2 linked regions of the Alligator mississippiensis genome follow. The protein of the gene in region 1 purifies or fractionates together with the protein of each later gene. This does not show direct contact. Links are inferred from orthologs where the notes say so. Each region holds a gene or a part of one and is shown in the gene's direction. Other genes may lie near its edges.

Region 1 (10,588 bases):
CCTGCTGGAGCCTCCTGCCTCCTGTACCGCAGCACAATCACTTCCAAATAAAGCCTGTTTCCCCACTGGCAGTGGTGTCTCCGTGGGTCCTGTTTCTGGGTATGGCTGTGGGGGGCAAAGGGCTGGAGACCCCCTGAGACCAGCATGAAGCCCAAGCCAGGTCCCTCTGCAGCACCTGACCATGCAGACAGGATGGGGCTGCATTCCCAGGGTGAGTTACAGCCCTCCCCGGGGTGCAGGGTGCAGTCTGCATGCAGCAAGACAGTGGGCACCACCAAGGCCTGCAGTGATGGGCTAGAGGGCTGAGCTGGGTGTGGAAGGGGGCCACAGAGCCAGACTGGGGGCCAGGGAGCTGGGGAGAGATGCAACAGGGGGTCCTGTCCACCAGCGCTGTGGGGCTGGGGCTGCTCCTAGCAGAAAACCCTTTAGGATCGTGGCTGTGCCCATGCCAGGCTCTGCCCTGCCGGGTACATAGCAGGGTGCTCGGGGCCCTGGGTGCTTGCTGGCCAGTGCTGCCAGCACAGGGTGAGTGCTCAGTGCTGGGGGCAGCCAGAGGCCGCGGGAGCAAGGGGTGGACTGGACATGGCTCCAGGGTCTGGAGAAGAGGTGAGTGGGTCTGGACCAGAGCGCAGTGCAGCACGGGACCTGTCGATACAGCCCGACCGGAGCTCCCATGACCACGGCCCTACGTCCTGCCTGCACCCCATGATGTCTGGCCCCCAGGCTGGCGGGGCCTGTAGGGGGGAGGAGGGATGGGTGGCTCTGCCAGGCAGGGAGCCTGGGCAGAGAGGGACCAGCAGGCCTAGGGCAGAGAGCCTGTGTCCCTGGATGCTGCCACCCCCCTGCAGCCAGGGCTGTGGATGGGGACCCAGCTGCGGGTCCCCTGCCAGCACAGGGCCACATCCCAATCTGCGGGGGTGGCATGAGGCTCCCAGGGCTGGAGCCGCTGCCCGCGCCCCACGCTGCACCAGCTGCACCAGCCTGCTCCCGGCAGGAAGAGGCAGACGATTGAGGTCAGGCCGGAGTGGCCCCTGCTCGGCTCTGCTGTTTGCCTTTCCAGAGGCAGCCGGTTCGGCCTCCAGCTCGGAGCCCTGGCTATTAACCTCCTCAAGGAGCGGAGCGCGGGACCGCGGGCGCCTGCCTCTTGCAGCCTGCACCCCGGCTGCTCCCCTGGCAAGGGTGAGCTATAGGCAGGCAGCTCCCTGCCATGCACGCACTGGCTCCATGGGGCAGAGCTGGCCGAGGCTGGGAGATGCCCTGCACAGGACACACCCAGGGCTCAGTGCCCAGTGGGCACCGCCACACCCATGCAGAAGTGCAATCATGGCCACAGCTGGCCTGGAGCGTGGCCCTCAGGATGGGGCACTCGGGCTCGGACCCCGCTGCCAGGCCAAGCTGCTCGCCTGCCTCCCGCGGCCGGGCTGCAGTGGAGCGCGGTGGGGCCGCCCAGTTTGGCCGGGAGGCGAGCGTGCAGAGAGGGGGTCTCGGGCCCAGCACAGACCTGGCCTCGCCGCGCGGGCCAGAGCAGCAGCTGAACGGAGCGGCTCCGGGGCCAGAGCAGCTGGCCCAGTCCGGCCAGGAGATGAAGCAGCGGTGGTGACATCACCCCATCGCTATGGAAGCAGTGAGATCATGGGCCGCACGCTCCAGGGCCCGGAGCCAGCTCCCAGTAAGTGCTTCCTGGGGGGAGAGACAATGAAGCCAACACATGTTCCCCTCCCCGCCCGGTCCCCTCTGACCAATAACCCTCCGCTGATTGATAGCGCTGTCCGGCCGGGGCCCTGCCTCCTTGATGGATGTGCGGGGAGGCTTCACTTAAGGGGAAACTGAGGCACACTGGCCTGCCCTGGGCCATGCGGGCCAGGGGCTGCGCGGCATCGGTGCCAGGGTCTGGTCCTACCTGCGATCCAGCTGCTGGTGATTGCTGAGTGAGATGCACGTCGTGGGATCAGTGTCAGCCCCAGTGTTTTGGGGGTGGTACGGGGCAGGCAATGATGGTGCTCTTCCAGACTGTGTAGCCTTTGGGGGAGCCATTTCTGGAAGGGGTAACGGGACAGTCTCCCTCTTGGGAGGTCTGCCCCCTCCTGCGTCCAGAAGTCACCCCGAGAGCCCGGCCTGCCCAAGCCACCCTGCCCCTCCTTTGCTGTCCAGCTTGCTCAGGCCAGGGGGGCCCAGGGTCCCCAACCGAGGGGGTAGCAGGGAGGGGTCTCACTTGCTCTCTGGGATGCCTTCCCCCAGCTCTGAGCCTGCAAGCCCGGGTCTGGCTGTGCAGAGCAGGGGGCTCGGCCTGCATCCAGCGAGCCGGCAGCCCCCCACCCCCAGCCATATGGCTCTGCGGAGGGGAGCGAGCGCTCCCCCCCTCCGCCCGCTGACATTTGGAGCAAGGAGGATGAGGTCAGCTCCTCCAGGCAGCCGCCTTCCCCGCTCGACCCTGCTGCAGATGGGGCCACGTCGCTCCAGGCCTCTCGGGGCCAGGGGAGCAGCGCTCTGGATCCTTTGGCATTTTCCCTGCCCGGTAGCCTGTCGGGACGACTCGGCGGCTTTGCGATGTGATCTGTGTCTCTCCTCCCAGGGCATCTGGCAGCAGCTGCCGGGGCATCAGAGGAGGCTGCGGCCCGGTGGCTCCTGGCCGAGCAGCTCTGTAGGTTCCTCTGCCCACCCCCACAAGGAACCGGGGAGCCCCGGCGCCCCACCACCACCCTCCACATCAAGGCTGGCAGGGAGGGGAGCAGGGGGCTGGTACTGAGGGGTCCCTTGGGGGGCTAGCGAGGATGCCGAGGGTGGGGAGGAGGGAAAGCTTCCGGGGCTGGGGGGGCTCCTGGTCTCAGGCCGTCTTAGGGTGCAAGGAGGTTTGGGGAGCCAGAGAGCCATGCCCGTCCCCTCCCCCCCCCCACAAGCAATTGCTAATCAGTTCAACCAGGCTCTCCCCTCTCTCTCTCAAACCCTCTCCTCCCCCTGCATGGACTCCTTGTCTCTTTTCCCAGCCCATCCCTTCCCTGGACCCTGATTCTTTTCCCTTGTGGGGTGATTTTAGGTGAAGTCCTGTCCCCTGCCTGGGCATCGGTTTTGCCATCTGTAAAATAGGAAGAAGAAGGTGAGGGATAGATGAAAAGCAAACTTCCTCTGTACCTGGGGAGCTGCGTGCATGTGTGTGCATGCATGTGCATGTACGTAATAGAGACTCTCCAGTGCTCCATCGCTCGGTCCCATCGGCAGGTGGCAGCTGTCCATCGCATTTTCTGCGCTAAGGGCTCCAGCCGGCAGCTGCCGCTCTGGACAGACCATCCCATGGTATTCCCTGGCCGGTCTCCAGTGGTGGCTCTAGCTACCTCCGTCCCAGCTTCTTCCCCAGGTGCAGGGCCCCTTCCCTGAGGCAACGGCTGTAAGTGCTTTCTCCGTGTCGCCAGGACTTAAATTGAAGTTGCACAGATCATGCCCTGGGCATCCAGCAGCTGGGACATGCACGGGACCCATCTCCACCCCATAACTGGTGAGTTCAGCCTGCAAATTGTCCCCCTTATTGCCCCAGAGTCACATGCAAGAGGTCAGTAGCCACGGCCCGTTTGGCCCTTCGCTTCTCTCTGCTGGACTGCCCACAAAGGTACCACTTTGCTGCCCATTGCAAGCAGGAACAAGGCCACTAAAAAGCCACCCTGTGTTCCCTGCCTGCTGGGCTGCCAGTTCCCTGGGGCAACGCGAACACGCCAGCACGCCTGCCTTGCAGCGCCTAGATCTGCCCTCATGGCTGCAGCATGAGGTCACACAGCAGTGTCGGCACACTTGTGTCGTGGGTGTTGCAGTAGGAGCCAGAGCCAATTGCACTAGAGCTTGCACATTTGTGTGGAAAGAGACGGGCCTGGCAAACAAAACACACCAGCAGAAACAAGAAGGAGTCTTGGCTCCAGTTTGCAGACGGGGAACTGAGACCCAGCAAAGTGACTTGACCAGGGTCAACCAGAGAGCAGTTGTGGAAGCTGAACCCAGGTGTCCTGGCTCCCTGTCTGCCTTAGCTCGGGGTGGGCAAAATGCAGCCGGGGGGCTGGATGCGGCCCACCAGGCCATTCTATCTGGCCTGCGGGGCCCCTAAAAAATTTAGAAAATTAATATTTATCTGCCCTGTTATGCGGCCTTCGATGGCTTGCCAAAACTCAGTAAGCGGCCCTCTACCAAAATAATTGCCCACCCCTGCCCTAGCTGCTAGGTCAACCTGTCTTGCAACACCAGGTCACATGGGATTGTTTCCCAAGGTTGTGTGTGTGTGAAAGCCTGTTCCCGTGTGCATGTGTGCTTGCACAGGTGTGTGTGCTTCTGTACAGCTATAGATTTAGCTCTAGAGAGAGAGCAAGGATAACCAGATCCATGCTGGGACGCTCTTGCTGAAACCCGCTGAGCAGTAAATCCACAGATTTCACAGACATTCGGGCTGGAGGGGACCCCGGAGGATCATCGAGTCCAGCCCCCTGCCCAGGGGCAGGAAGTCAGCTGGGGTCATAGGATGCCAGCAAGATGAGCATCCAAATTTCTCTTGAAGGTGTTCAATGTAGGTTCATGAACCACCTCCGGTGGCAGGCTGTTTCAGACCTTGGGGGCTCGGACAGTGAAGAAATTCTTCCTTATGTCCAGCCTGAAATGGTTTTGCTGGAGTTTATGACCGTTCGACCTTGTCATCCCTTGGGGCGCTCTGGTGAACAGACATTCCCCCAGATCCTCGTGGTCACCCCTGATAGACTTATAGGTGGCCACCAGATCACCCCTGAGCCTGCGCTTTTCCAGGCTAAAGAGCCCCAGGGCTCTCAGCCTGTCATCGTAGGGTCTGCTTCCCTGAGCTCTGATCATGCGCGTGGCTCTTCTCTGGACTCTCTCAAGCTTCTCCACAGCCTTTTTGAATCGTGGAGCCCAAAACCGGACGCAGTACTCCAGCTGCGGCCTCCCCAAGGCCAAGTACAACAGGAGTATGACAACCCCAGGATTTGCTTGAGAAACATCTTTGGACGCAAGCCAGCGTTTTGCTCGCTTTACTAGCCGCAGCATCGCACTGCAGGCTAATGTTTATCTTGTGGTCAATCGTGACCCCCAAGTCTCTTTCTTCCATAGTGCTAGCCAGCGTAGCACTGCCGAGCCTATAAGGATGCTACGGGTTTTTCCTCCCAAGGTGGAGAACCTTGCATTTATCGGCGTTGAACACCATCAGATTCTCATCTGCCCACTTGCTGAGCCTGTCCAGGTCAGCCTGGATCACCCGCTTGTCTTCTGGTGTGGATGCTTTGCCCCAAAGTTTGGTGTCATCGGTGAACTTGGCCAGTCCGCTTCTGACCCCAATGTCCACATCATTAATGGAGATGTTGAACAGTATGGGTCCAAGGACAGAGCCTTGGGGGACCCCACTGGTGACCACACACCAAGACCGTCCACCACCACCCTCCGGGTCTGACCACGGAGCCAACTCCCAGTGGCGGGAATCCAGGCACAACCCAGCCGCGTGGGCCGGAGGCTCCCCGCATGGAGCTGGCACCAGACAAGGAGCCGGTGGAGGGGCGCCTTTCTGCACCCTCCCCATTCGTGACACTCTCGACACAGCCTGCGGCTGGAAATGCAGAAGTGGCCGAGGAGCCGGCGACCGTTGGCAGCTGCGCGCCTCTCCTGGCAGTTTCTTCTCCAACAGGAGTTTCTCCATCTCCAGCAGACCGCAGGCCGGGGCCCGGGAGGCAGCTCTCCCTGCAGGCCGCGCCGTGCTGGTCTCAGGGGGGCAGAGGGCAGGGCAAGGAGCAACGGGCCCAAGTTGCAGCAAGGGAAGTTGAGGCTGGAGAGTAGGAAAACCTCTCTCAGGAGGAGGGGGGTAACGGGTTACCCCGAGAGGTGGTGGCATCTCCATCCTGGGCCCGGGTTCACAAAGCCTGCATGCAGCGGGGCTGGTGATGTGAGCTCCCAGCTCTGCCCAGCCCTCTGTTGTTCAGGGATTGTAGGGGCAGGTGCAAGCTGCCCGGGCGCAGGAGGCTGCAGGCGGGGGCAGGGGCAGGTGCCCACAGGCTTTGCCTTTTCTCTCCCCCTGGACAGGCTCTGAGCCTGGATGGGAGCTGCCAGCCTGGGGCCACCCATGCAGGGGGAGCAGAGCCCGGTCCCTGCCCCGGAGCCACGTGGGGCCCTTTGCTGTCTGCCCCTGCGGGGGGGCTCCGGACCCCCTGGGTCTGCAATGCATTTGGAGGTGCAACAAAGGGGGGGCTCTGGACCCCCTGGGGCTACCATGCACCCAGGGGGAGATGCAACAAGGGGAGTCTCCAGCCCCCTTGGGGGTGTGATGCATCTGGGGGTGCAACAAGGGGGGTCTCCAGACCCCTTGGGGGTGCAATGCATTTGGGGATGCAACAAGGGGGGGGTCTCCGGACCCCTTGGGGGTGCGATGCATTTGGGGGTGCAACAAGGGGGGGCTCCGGACCCCTTGGGGGTGCAATGCATCTGGGGGTGCAACAAGGGGGGGCTCCGGACCCCTTGGGGGTGCAATGCATCTGGGGGTGCAACAAGGGGGGGTCTCCGGACCCCTTGGGGGTGCAATGCATCTGGGGGTGCAACAAGGGGGGGGTCTCCGGACCCCTTGGGGGGGGGTGCGATGCGCCAGAAGGGGGCGCAGCCGGGGGCGGGCCGGGCGCGGCGCGCAGCGGGACTCCTGCCCCTTTAAGAGCGGCGGCACCACCCCCGGCCCATACAAGGGCAGCGGTGACATCAGCGGGCGGGGTTTCCCGGTGACGTCAGGGCGGGGCGCGGGGGCCCCGAAGATGGCGCTGGCGGCGGGAGCGGGGGGCGCGTCCGGGCCGCGCCGGCACTCGCTGCTCGTGATCGTGGGCGGCGGCTGCAGCCGGCCCGGCCTGCTGGGCTCCGTGCTGGGCGAGCTGGAGCGAGGTGAGCCCCGCCCGGCCCCGCCCGCAGCCTCCTCGCCCACCCCCCTCCCCCGCCGGGGGCGGGGCTGCACCCAGGGGGGAGGTCTCAGGACCCCCCCCCCCCGTGGGGCTGTGATGCAGAGGGGGTCTCTACCCCCCCCCCATGCGGCTGTAATGCACTGGAGGGGGAGGTCCTGACCCCCCCCCCCCCCGTGGGGCTGTGATGCAGAGGGGGTCTCTACCCCCCCCCATGCGGCTGTAATGCACTGGAGGGGGAGGTCCTGACCCCCCCCCCCCCCCGTGGGGCTGTGATGCACTGGGGGTGCTGCCCCCCCCCGGGGGCTGCCATGCACCCGGCAGTGCACCACTGCATCCTGGCTCCGCTGGACTGGAGATGAGGGGGGTGGGGGGGCGAGGAGGCCGCTCTTGTATGCCCCCCCCACCCGTGGCCTGGCCGTGGGCTGAGCGGGGTTCCCGGAGCGCTCGTGGTCGCTGCCACGCGGCGGGGCCGGCGCTCGGGGCCTGTGTCGGGTTGGCTCGTGGGACTGGTGCGGGTGGGAGCAGCAGTTCATGGGCGGGGGGCCCCGAGGCTCCGTGGCCTCGTGCGGGGTGGCTCCGCCGCCCCAGGGGCTGCTCGCCTGCCTGGCTGTGCGCGGTGAGTCACGCGTGCAAGGTGCGTGGCCCCGGGGCGTGCGGGCAGGCACCTGTCTCCTGCAGGAGCGTCGGGGAGCACACCTGGAGCTGTGCGGCACGCCCGGCGCTGCCGCCCGCCTGCCCGCCCGCCCGCCCGCTCGTGGACCCGTGGCATGGTTCGGCCCAGGCGTGTGCGAAGGGAGACCTGTGCCAGGCCGGGCCGGGGGCTTGTGCACGAGGCTGCAGGGGCGTGGGGGCTGCAGGCGCCGTGACAGTGGGCAGGTGGCTTGTGGTTGCCTCGTTAATGGACTTAATGGCTTAGCGGCGGTGGGAGGCCCAGGGTCCCGCTGGGTCACGGCCGGCTGCTCGGAGGAGCAGGATTACGGCGTGTCCGGACTCGTGCCAGGCCAGAGTGCCACTGGCCTGCACGTTTGGCTCGTGCCACACGTGGTCTCCCCGTTGCTGGGTTTTGGGGGAGCTCCGGGTGACCCGGGGGGCGGCCTGGGCTGCTGGGTGCACGGCAGTGACCGAGCTGGGCAAGCGATAGCCCCGGTCTCGGACCCGGCCCTGCCTGTGCATAATAGCCCCGCTCCGGACGCTGACCGTGGGGCTGGCTGCCCCGCGTGAGTTGCCTGGGGCTGGGGCTGGGGCTGAGTCACGGGCTGACTGTCCAGCCACAGGCTGCTGGCTGGCCACGCGGCTGACTCGCTTCCCGGCGGCCCTGTGCCAGTCCTGCAGCCGGAGCCGGCCTGGCCTCGTGCCCCTGCCACTGGTGTTGGGGGCCGGTGGCCCAGGCGAGCTGCCAGGGGCGCCCCCCCAGCCTGGCAGCATCTCACCCTAGTCAGACCTTCGCCGGGTCCCTGCTTGCAGGGCTCTGGTGCGGTGCGTGCGGAGAGCGAAGGTCCCCACCCCGCCGACACACGCTGTTCGTCCCGGTAGTAAATGAGGAAGCTGGGGTGGAGGGGGCGGGGGCGGCACTGCCTTTCCTGCCCGCAAGGCAGAAGCTTCTCTCCCTGGTCACTACAGAGCAGCGTGGCCTGGCCTTTCGTGCCCAGCCCCTGCACAGGCAGGCTGGAGGGCATGGGGGGTGCCCGTCTCTGTGCCAGGAGGGTGCCGCGAGCTGCTCTGCAATGCATGGTGCTGTGCAGAGGGCACTGCCGCTTGATGGACTTGCAGGGATGGGCAAGCAACACCCGCCCGGGGCAGGGCAGGGCAGCACAGGGGGCTATGGACGCGGGAGCTGCAGCTGCTTTCCCGCCCGCCCTGGCCCTGCCCCGCTCGGATTGCCGGAGCCTTACGTAAGCCGGCGCTGGGCTGGGGATTAGAGCCGGTGACGTGAGCCCCCCTTCCCCGGAACGTGCTGCAGCTCCGGAGCCTGCAGTGTGTCTGTGTGCGCGTGCAAGGGGAGGGAGTCGGAGCGTGGCCAGGCATCTGGCCAGCGTGGGCATGGGAGGTGCATGGGTGCCCCTGGCAGGTGCTCTGGGGCCAGCGTGTGCTGGGCCCTAGTTGCCCTGGATGTCTGCGCTGCCCAGCACCTGGCAGGGAGCTGTGCCGTCGACCCCCTGTGCCCCCAGGTGCTGGAGGTCCAGATTTCCCTTCCCTGCCTTGCTGTGTCCCAGCTGCTGCCTCCCCTGTGTGGCAGTGCCCTGGGCTGCGTGCCCGGGTTGCTATCCTTGCACCCGCAGCTTTGTGGCCTGCGCACTGGAGCAGGATCCGGCAGCCTCCTGGGGGATGGGGAGGGGGCCAGAGGCCTGAGCAGGGGCTTGGACCTCCAGGCAGAAGGTCTCTGGGGCTCGCATCCGCTCTCTGTCCAGGGTTGGGCTGTGAGTGAGGGATTGGCTCCCGCTGAAGCATTGGCACTGTGCCCCATTTGCCCTCCCTTGGTGCTGACGGGCATCTCTCCGCAGGGATCCGCTCCTGGGACATCGATGTGGCTGCCTGCAACCTCGACGAGCAGCTGAAGCTCTTTGTGTCCCGGCACTCAGCCACCTTCTCCAGCATTGTGAAAGGTGAGGCTGGCGCCTGCTCCGGGCATGGGGCCCGCAGCTGTGTCTCCCCGCTGGGGGGGCGCGGGGGACCACCCGGCCCCCTGGGATGCTGCTACCCCTGGCTGGGGCAGCCTGTTGGCAGTGGGGCTAGGGGAGGTGCCTCCTGGACCTCTGTGCGTGGCTGATGCCCCGGGTGGCATCCCGGCAGGGTCTGGGGGCCTGCGCTGGGCTCGGGCAGGGCAGCTCGCACTGCTGCCAGCACCCCAGGCAGACAGGCCTCGTTCCCGGGGCAGGATGGAGGCTCTCCAGACTCGAGCACGAGTCCTGCTGCTCTCTTCTCCATGGGACCGTGGCTCAGCTGCCCTGCCGGCCCCGGGCACAGACAGGAGAGAGGAAGGCTGTGCTGCAGCCCCTCCTTCGGCGCAGGGAGCAGACCCCCTTGCTCCGGCTGCGTTGGCCCAGCCTGGGCAAACATTTAGCCGGGGCCATAAAGCCGCCTTTGTGCTCAGCGGCACCGCGCTCCTCGGCGCGCACAGATGCTCTCATTCATCTGCGCCCTGCTCTCTGGGAGCTCCCAGCCCCGGGGCTTTGGCCCAGCGACGCCTTGCTCGCGTCCGACTCGTGATGCCTGCACCTCCCACCCCCCCACAGCGCCAGGCAGGAGCTCCCCTTGCTTTGGACCCCTGTGCTGGGGGGAGAAGCTCTTGGGGTCCCCCACAATGCTGGCTGGGGCTGTGGGCTTGTCACAGGGGCTCTGAGGCTCCTGCCTGGATAGGGACAGGCAAGGTTTCCTGATGCTGCAACCTGCAGACTGGGGCTGGGGCATGGCAAGAGTGATTTTTGGGGGGGTTCCTTGGGGGTTACGGTGCCCATGGACTTGGGTCTGCTGCCCTGGAGGCCCCTTCCAGTCCCTGCCCCCCACCCTGAGCCTGCAGCCTCCGCCAGGGAACAGGCCTGGCTTTGTGGCAGGCAGCTGCTGCCGGAGCCAGTTGCTGGGGGTGGGGGGAGGATGCAACCTCCTGCCCCAGCCTGGGGGCAGCTCGGCATGTGCTGTGGGGTGCGGAGCCCTGGAGCCCCTTGTGCAGCTGGGGACAG
Region 2 (9,765 bases), on another chromosome or scaffold:
AATAGAACTGCTTCTTTTTACTGCCTGTCATTTGAGTAGTTCAAACATTTACTTAAGTATGCAGTCATGCCTGCTACTACAGGAGTAAGTACAATTAGAGAGCTGATACCCAAGTCATTCCAGGGAAGCCTGACTTCTCCCTAAGAACTCTGTCCTACAGCAAAGTGATCTATGGACAGAACACACTGATGTATCCAAGTGCTGTTGCTGAGCACATGAGAAACATCATTTTACATATGGGAAAAATCAAGGAGTTAGGCGTCTTGTCCAAGGTCACAAATCAAGTCAGGAATAGGACCGGAACCCAGATCTCCCATTGCCCTATTCCTGAATCATGAGGCCATGCATCTTCATGAGGAGAACCAGAGAGGGAAGTAAATACAGGACATCTGTATCTGCCATTCAGAAAGGATGCTTAATAAGACTGCTTGACTGGAACCATTTCTAATCTAACCCTATTCCTTCCTTCACATTTCACAAGATGCTTTTACAGAGAGAAGTTTGTTTTACAGAATCATCTCATTCCCCTTGTTCAGGGCCTCTTTTGGCAACTTAAGTACTGTGGAATTTGTCCCCACATCTCACATCCGCCCCCTTATGAAAAGCTGAGAGAGGCTCTTCCTACTAACCAGATTTCAGAGAGAGGACTTTTTTTTCTCAGAAGAAACAAAACCAAAAGCAGGAACATATGCTGGGATTGGGGCTATGAAGTGTACTGCAGAACAAATGAAGATGTAGAGCTGTGGCAAGGTTTAGGTACCTGTCATTAATCGTGGACCTTGTTGAGTCAAGCCTACTGCAGTCATATTTACTCATATTTATCCTGTAAGAATGGGGAGGGGGCAAATATTGAATCATGACCACTTATCATTCATTAGCTGCTCAAGAATAAACAGTGTGCAAAATGCTTGAAAGTGTGAACAGTCAAGTGTATCATTTACCAGCTAGAAGGGAGGGAAGTAGCATAAAGGGCACAGAGAGCTGCAGGGCTGACAGCAAACAACACTAACACTAAAGAATTCACAGCATAGGGGTAGAAGATGAATGGGTTTCTGCTATTTAACCAGAATCCAAAGTCACCCAACCTGTCCATGAGCAACCATCCTAAAAGCAGGGCTGTGAGTGACCCAGGCTGCTGCCTGTATTGTCAAGCCTCCATTTTGGCTTGTGTAACAGTATAAACTTAGAAGTTACCTGTTGACACCATCATGTGCAGCCTGTACAGTGCAGTCAATCTGCAATACAGTCTTGTAGTCCACATAGGCTAGCTGGTATCTCTCAAGAGCCTCATAGGCTGCTGCCCGCCTCAACAGAGGTTTGATTCCAAAAGGAACAAGGTCCAGTGCACTGTATCAGGGGGAGGAAGCAAGAGAGGTCACTGGGCCACCTGAGTTAAGTTCAGCAGAGAGGAGAAGGTTGGTGTACTTGATGGACTGGGGGTTTGTCAGGTATCAGCTTTTCATGACTAAGTTTTAAAGGCACAACCTTGAAACTACAGAATTGCACCTTGGAAATATTTGCTTGACAGGGAATGATCCTGCAGAAGTGAATGGGGAACTTCTGCATCTCTCAGGTGTGCAGTGTTGTAGCCAGGGGACAAAGGAAGAAAGATATTAATTCTATCTCCCAGTGACAGTCACTTTTTTCTCAGAATAAACAAAACCAAAAGCAGGAAAGTATGCTGGGACAAGGGCTATGGACACAGGTTGCAGTTCAGCTGTGCTACAGAACAACTAAAGATGTAGAGCTGTGGAAAGGTTTAGGTAGGGAATGATCCTGCAGGAGTGAGTAGGGAATGGAAGGCCAATTCAACAGTATTAAAAAATTAAAAAATAAAAGTAATGTATACATGGTTAGCAAGGAAGAGAGGCCTTTGTACTGCTTCAAGCAAATGAATTTGACATCTTCTCCCCACCTTGTTTAAATGACACCAACAACAAAAGGCCAAGCAAAATGCTTCGCCCATATGTGTTTTGCTATGGGTGGCTGACCAATGCCAGTGTTTGGGATGGAGGCTACTATATGGTTCCCTAAAGGTACTTAACTTTTCCTCCCAATAGTCTTAAATGAAAGGCCCAGTTGGTAACCACACACTATCTTATTTCATTCACAACAAAAACACGGTTTAGGTTTTCATCTGGGTAACAGCTACTTACACAGTACAGTCCTTAACACAGAGGCTACAATTCCCATCCTTCAGATAGCAGGCAGCTCGATTTGAATGGAGGACACTCATTTCCTCAGCATCCTTCTCCCCTAGGAGCAGAAACAAAAACAGAAGATAAATTCAAGGTGGGAAATGTGGGACAATATATTCAGTGCATGCTATGGCCAATTCCTGTATTAGATGTTTCTACTTACACCAGAAAAGGGGTACTAAAAATAAGATGGATCTCACAGATATTGAAGTATGGCTCAAGAGAGCCATTTGGAAGCTCAACTGCTAAAGTTACTGATCAGTACCAGCAATAAAGCTCATCTTTCATCTTCAAAGCATCAGGTACTTAATTGTCAGTCTCCCCAAAGAAGCAAACAATGATCATCCCGATGTGGATCAGATCTAGGCTTAAGAGTTCAGAAGATCCCAGTCTCTAGTTTCCCGGTTCATAATTCTGTCTTTTTCATTGCTGCAGCTGGTAGTGACAGCACTCAACAGCAGAACACATGAGCCTGTAGAAGGTTTAAAAAGAAAAGCCCCTAGCAACTTTATGATGGAACAAGTTTGGGACCTTGGCAGCCACATCTGGGTTTATGTTGTGCTGTGGGGCCATGGCTGGATTGTGATTTTTTTTTAATTATTATAATTTTCCAAGATTTTTTATAATTTTTATAATTCCAAGCCAAATTTATAATTTTCTGAACATTTTTATAATTCCAAGCCAAATTTGCCAAAACAAATTCCAAATTCGAGAGTCAGTCCAGAACCATAGGTGCCCCTACTACTGGCAAACATCTTCCACCCCCATCTGGGTCTTCAGATGTTCCCGAATCCTTTGGTGGGCATCCTACTTGCAGGCCCAAGCCAGGAGTTTGGATGCCTCCAAGTTTTGCTTGCCCTTAGCCATAAGGCCCCAGAAGCAAGCTAGGGAGGAGTCTCCCATTTCCATAAGGTGGGCATAAAGCCAGGGTTAACTATGTATTAACTATGCAGATACTGTTCCATGCCAGCAGAGCGGTCTTCCCCAGGTGCAACTAGGAAGCCACCAGGGTGATCATCAGGGCTGTGTGAAGCTTTGGGTAGTGATTCTATCTGGAGGAGATTTGGCCCGATTCAGCGGCCGAATCTCAGAATCCGAATCAAATCAGGGGACCAATTTAAAGGTCTGAATCGACTCAAAGCTCTCCAAATCTTCGGAAAAGCTTTGGAAAGCTTTGATGACTTGGGCAGTCCCCAGTGGCTGCAGCAGGGAGCTGCAGTTGACTGTGAACTGGTAAGTACTAGGGGCAGGGGAAGAGGGGCTGGCTGGGGGAGGGGACCATGGAGGGGACCCTGGTCAGCCCCCCCCCACCATGGCTGCTCCCGCCCACCCCAGCTCCCAGTACTTTAAAAAAAATAAAATAGCCCCGGTGCTCACTGGGTGCTGCTGAGCAGGGGGGGTCCAAACCTGCTGCCCCCCCCACTGCCCCACGGGGGGCTCTGTACAAGCCCCCCGACCCCCCCCACGGGTGCCTCACCTGGGCCAGCTCCAGCCCTTTAAGAAAAAAAAAAAAAACTTGAGAAAAGCCCCAGACTCACTGCTCCTGCAGCAGCTGGGGGGTCTTGCGCAGAGTCCCCCGCATGGTGTGGGGATTGCCCCCCCCAGCAGCCAGTCCCAGGGTTGTTTCCATTTTTTTTTCCTTAAAGGGCCAGAGCTGGCCCGTGAGGTGCACACATGGGAAGGGGCTGGAGGAGTGAGGGGGAGGGTCAGGGGGGTGGGGGGGTCATGCAGAGACATGCAGCATGCCCCCATGCAGCGAGGGGCAGCAGGGATCACCCCCCACCCAGGAACACCTGGTGATCCAGGGCTTTTTATTTATTTTTTTACTAGTGCTGGGAGCTGGGGCAGCCATTGCCACCTGGGAGAGGGGTTGGGGATGGGCCTGGCCTGGCTGATTCAGAAATTTGGCTGCTGCCGACTCTCCGAATCAGATTTGGCGGAATCTAATCGGGACAGCGATTCGAATCATTTAATCAAATCACTGTCCCCCAAATGGGCCAAATCCGAAGCGAATACCAGCCGTTTCACACAGGCCTAGTGATCATGGCATTTCCCCTGCCAGGCAAGTTAGGACTGTGCTTGATCCGGGCCGACAAGAGGCCGAGGAGCCTGGGCTCTGCATATAAGGCAACAACCCGCACTGTGGCAAGGAGGCTGCCGCTCCCCGCGGGTCCAGCCGGCCAAACGCGCGTTACCTCCGCAATGACGAGAGCAGGTCACCCGCTGGCTGCCCTCCACCGCGCGGCACTATTTTTAAACTGGGCCACCGAAGGCGCGGGGGGAGTCGGCAGAGCCGCGCTGCTGCGAGGGGCCCTGCTCTAGCAGCTCTGCCCCGCCCTGGCGCGCCCCGGGAGGACGGACGGGCCAGGGGGCCGCACCTGGCAGGAACCGCGCGGGGGGGCTCAGCTCACAGCCGCGCGGTGTCCCGCGGAGGGGTCCCCTGCCTGCCCCAGGCTCGGCGGGAGGCAGAGGGCGAGCCGGGCCCTCCTCTCGCCCCTACCTGCTGCCTCGAGCAGCGCCAGCGCACGGCTGTAGAGCGCAGCCGCCTGCCCGTACTGCCCGCTGCGGAACTGCTCGTTGCCGGCGCTGCGCAGCGCCGCGACCCGCGGCTCGGGGGCCATGGGGCCGGCAGGCGCAGTCGGGCGTCGGCTGCTCCCCGGGGGCTCCGGGCGCCGCTTCCTGCCGGCTCCTAGCCGGGGCGGGGCAGCTCCGCCGGCTTCTGCTCGGCCCCGCCCCTGCCCCTGCCCCTGCCCCGCCCCCGGGGGCAGGGTCTCGCGACAGCGGGGCGGGGAAAGGCCGGGCCCGGCTCCCTGCTGGGGCGGGGCGGGGCAGGGCTAGAAACTAGGCGCATCTTTTACGCGGCGGGGCTGGCTGGACACCGCGCGTGCAGGAGCCTGGCCTGACGCGCGCGACGAGTCACACCCGCCCATGAGGAGGGCGCGACGCATTCTGGGAAACTGCCTCGGGCTGGGGGCGGTCCCGCGGCCTGGCCGCGCCCCTCTGCCGCAGGAGGCGCGGAGCCCCGCCCTCTCCGCGAGACCACGTGACTGCCGTTCGGCCCCGCCCCACGCTTCCGGCGTGTGGGGGCGGAGGAGGCGGAAGCGGAGCGGAAGCCGCGCGGAGCCGGTGGAGCGGGAGGTAGAGGAGGCACCGTGGCCATGGCCATAGCGGAGTGAGCGCGTCTCCCGCCGTCGCCCGCACGGGCCCGCCGCGCCATGGAGACCGTACAGCTGCGCAACCCGCGCCGGTGAGGAGAGGCGAGGCGAGGCGGGGGCGGGCCGGCGGACCCGGTTGTCATGGGGACTCGCGGCTCCGAGCGCCCGGGGTGGCAGCACCTCCGCCGGGGCCGGGGGCGGCCCCACGCCCCACCGCGGGGTAGTCGCGGCTGCTGCGACTTAGTTGCGTATTGACGCGTGTCCGATCTCGCCCGAATTAATCAGCCCCGAATTAAATAGGTCGTTTGTTTGTAGCCGGAGGAGTCGCTCCCCTGCTGGCTGGGGATTTTGGTCGTGGGTTCCACCCTTCTTCAAACCATCCTCGCAGGTGTATTGTTGTTATGTGGGGTTAGGGGAGCCGGGCTTGTCACGCAGGAGCCGTGTCCAGCCTGTAACCGGACTTATTTCAGAAAGCAAGGCGCCGGGTGAAGCAAGAAAGGCCTCGGGGCCCTGTCAGGTTACTTGTTCTTGCTTGAATAACAACACCGAGTCACCGTTACCGAATGCAAGTATGGCAAGGAACGGGAGTCTTGGCAACGTAACTGCCAATCATGGAAACGAGAGCTGTGCTTTTGTAGTCGTGATGTTTAAGACACCTCTGCCTTAGCATGATCAAAGAGGCATTGTTGAAGTGCTGAATTCCCACAGCTCTTCACAGAATAAGAGTCATTTGCTCTCTGGGGGTTGCCAGTCTAAATAGGTATCGGGAACTCGAGGAAATGTTCCAGCTTAACCTGCCTTTTTATGTAAGGCAACAGGAAAATCCAAAACCTTTGGTATTCAAGGCACTGAAAAAAAAAGGGAGTAAAAGGAGGGGAAATCTGGTCATTGCTGTAAGTCCAAATAAAGACCTAATGTTGTCTTCTTAATAATACCCTTTTTCTCTGAAACCCAGTAGGTACAGCTAAGATGACTGAGGTAGCGTCTTCACAATTTTCCTTTCTGTGCAAGGAGCATCAGTTAGTTAATAGAATATATTGCTTAGAGTTGCAACTAAAATATTTCATGGAGGAAAGCAAAACTTGTGGGATTTCCTTGTTGCTGATGCACTTATTCCATTTATATGGTGTGGAATATATTTGTTAGTCATAAGTAAATCCGTCTGGAGTTCTGAATGCCCTGTAATTACTTCTAGGTCTCCAAGCACTAAGTCTGGCAAGTGATGATAGCTAAGGGAACTCGCATTTCCTTATAGCAGAATATTTGGAGGGCTTTATCTTCATCTGTGCACGTGCACTGTATCATAGATCCTATGACAATTATGTTTTCTTTGACATTTGGGAAAGTTCACTTCCCGGTGATTTTAGAAGTCAAGCTGGTGACCCTTTAAAATACCTTAGAAATATTTCGGGGTATTTTGGGGTAGCAGTTGTTGTGATAACCTTGTGTATCTCTTGCAAAACTGCACAAAGCTCTTTTTTTAGGTGAGATCTATCATGTTCTCTCTGCGTTCTGCCAATGTTCCTGTCTATTTTAAGGTTCAATGATCTCTGACTATGGATGAGAGCAGTGGAGCCTAGACAGAGCAATTCACAACCAGATGATTTAAGTAGCCAAGAGGAAGAAATGGATCAACTGATGTGTAATTTATTCTGTTGCAACCTTTGGCTCATATTGTTCACAAGCAAAACCGGAAGCTGATGGGAAATAATGGGGGGTGTCAAACCTTCTCTAAAGAACCCCTGAAAGTGTAGAAGTATGAAAAGTTGCCAGCAATATGAATCTGTTCATTTTTTCCCTCTAATTGTAGATTGAGTTAATATTGGGAGTTAATCTTAAAAGTCTAATTAAGAGGACTTTTGAATGACAGACAACATGCTAGTATAACTAGGTCTGAAACCTTGCTAGATCATGAAAAACTAATGACTTAAAATCTTCCATTTTTCAATAGGAGATTCATTCTGTACTCTTAAAAAAAACAAAAAAACCCCCCAACTTTTCCTTTTAGGACTGACTGAGACATGTCAAATCAGATGTTAAATTTCTTTTTAATTAGTTTGGGAAAGGCCTAGGGCATATTTAGTCTAAGGAAGTAGAATTTTGATTTTTGGAAGTCACTTGTGTCTTCCCTTTTAATTAAAGTTACTCATCAACAAAGGCCACTATTTATTACATGTGTATTAAGGGGGGGCGGGGAATGAAATGATTTATTTTCTAATCTCCTAGTTATTCCATTTAGCAGTTAAAAGTGCAAGCTAGCAGTGACAGGATGTTTATCCTTTGAAGCTCAGTTCAATGCCTTGTATACTGTTGCTAACATTCCTTAATGTTCGCTCTTACTTTTTTCTGATAAGTAACATCTGTTGGGTGTGCAGGCAGTGTCAGTTTGGGATTTCAAAGACATGTGAACCAAGCTGTTAGTAGCCTATCATTTCACTGCAGACTGTTGTTGAACAACTCTGGACAGAGGATAATTTGGAAGCACTTCAGCAATTGAATGAAGTTTCAGTCTGTCAGAACACTATCGGTGGTGTGCAGCTGTTTCTAACTGTATGTTTGAGAGATGAGCAGAAGAGGCAGTTTCCTTTGTTTTGTGACAGATAGCAGCTGGCTTTCTTTTCTTTTCTTTTTTTTGTTCTAGTTTAACTGACAAGGGAGCAAAATATCTGCTGTTAGTAATGTGTTTAGTTTACCTATAATTTAGTATATAATTGTCTATATGGAAGTTTAACTATACCTGACCCAGATTAGATGTGAACACTCCAGAAAGCAAAATTGTTTTTGTTTCCATCTTAACCCTCTATAAAAAGGTATGCTGTAAAAGACAGGGTGTCCTAGATAATTTGGATCACTCCTGATTCAGGCTCATTAGATGCTGAAAGAATACCATTGAATTTCTGAATATGTTCAGGAACAGGGAAGCTTAGTGTCACTTGAAATAGGCAATAAATTGGCTCCTGAAGAGCTCATGTGATGTTTGGATCTTCTAAAATCATGTAGAATTGGTGTGTGGCTGGATCTAATTCTACACACTTTATTCTGTAGTATCTGCCCTTTAGATTACTACATTTCAAGCTATTTGGTAATGGTGACTAGGTATTGTTATTCAAGCAAGAACAAGTAACCTTCTTTTGGTTTAATGCTTATCATTGCAAAGAGCCTAGTGACTTTCAGTATTTCGCCACTTCCTGAGTTTGCTTGCTTGTACTGTTTCCTTCATTTCAGGAAGCCATTGTATGTATAGCCCATGTGCATCTTGCTTCTCCTATATGGCTTCTGCATATTGACGTAATAGCAGATGCACATTGAGTGCTTTCCAGTCCTAGCTTCAGCAACTTCACAAAAGCTTTTTACATTTTTAGTATCTTAGGTACAAACTGTGCCCGTTTTCTTCATGTTTAATGACAACAGCTCATGTTATTTATAAACAGCAGGCAGCCATGTGCATTTCGGTTTTTTATATAATTCAAATGTAGAGACTTAAGAATTGCTTGATAAAGAGCTACAAAAGTCTCTTTGTCTTCTGTAACCATAATATAACTGTTTTTAGTTCATAGGTGATGCACTTTTTCTTATGGCATGTGTTGGCTACTTAGTGGATCTTAAAAGATGTGGTTTTGGGTGTTTGTATGCTTAAGAGCTGTTTAGAACTTGATAGTGATTTATGTGTAGCTTCTTGGTCAGTAATTCTGAAGTATGTTAAAGATGATATGCAAAAGAGAGAAGAAATTTGCATTTTTCTTGTTGGTTTGTAATGCATAAAATTGGCATGGTTCTTTCCCCTCTTTCTCCCACCCCTGCAACTGAAGGGACTAAGAAGTTTTAGAACCTCTAACCAAGGCATCTTTCCTCATAAGTGTTTCAACTCCAGGTGTTAGGTCACTTTTTAATTTACTGTTAACATCACTTTCCAACTTGACTGATTGCATTATACTTTCATTGATTTCCTTTCCTTCCATTCCCCTTCACTCCATCATACCAGCTCACCAGTCGCTCTGTCTTTCCAGGATGAACAAGTTCTGAATTTCTAGTGAAAAATGAGCAAGAAAAAGAACAACCCCTGTCCTACAAAAGCATAGTCTTTGCATAGTCTAAATCTATAAGCTAGCAGAAGATTTGTTCAGGAAGCAGTAGACACAATGTTGTTAATTATGGAATCTATAAAGTGCACCCGAACATGATCCTACATATTCTGGTGCCTTGGCTATATAACTGTTTCCTGCAGCACAGAGGAAATACAGATCTATATGTTTGATAAAACTCTGCTCCCTGTAAGACTCAAAGCTGTTTTTAGTGTTTGGTGTTCTGATTTTGCATCTAGTGACCGTATTTTACTTCTTAGGCAGACTAAATCTTAAATGATTATGACAAAATACATATTTGTCAAACTTTCAATGCTGTATGTTTTAAAA

The links. The genes of interacting proteins can lie anywhere in the genome.
Region 2: the proteins of MAP1S (region 1) and STK4 purify together in Homo sapiens (affinity purification with mass spectrometry; 3 studies listed by BioGRID and IntAct, with this or other methods). This does not show direct contact. The link is inferred for Alligator mississippiensis from reciprocal best matches to the Homo sapiens genes MAP1S and STK4.

What each region holds. Positions count from the first base shown.
Region 1 is NC_081839.1:2,080,888-2,091,475, reverse strand, and holds the start of MAP1S (microtubule-associated protein 1S), read left to right. Parts: upstream 1-6,737; 5' UTR 6,738-6,770; coding exon 6,771-6,894; intron 6,895-9,412; coding exon 9,413-9,514; intron 9,515-10,588. UniProt on the Homo sapiens protein: Microtubule-associated protein that mediates aggregation of mitochondria resulting in cell death and genomic destruction (MAGD). Plays a role in anchoring the microtubule organizing center to the centrosomes. Binds to DNA. Plays a role in apoptosis.
Region 2 is NC_081832.1:16,837,832-16,847,596, forward strand, and holds the start of STK4 (serine/threonine-protein kinase 4), read left to right. Parts: upstream 1-5,201; 5' UTR 5,202-5,413; coding exon 5,414-5,445; intron 5,446-9,765. Other genes in the region: TOMM34 (mitochondrial import receptor subunit TOM34), read right to left, coding at 1,195-1,347, 2,157-2,256, 4,699-4,819. UniProt on the Homo sapiens protein: Stress-activated, pro-apoptotic kinase which, following caspase-cleavage, enters the nucleus and induces chromatin condensation followed by internucleosomal DNA fragmentation.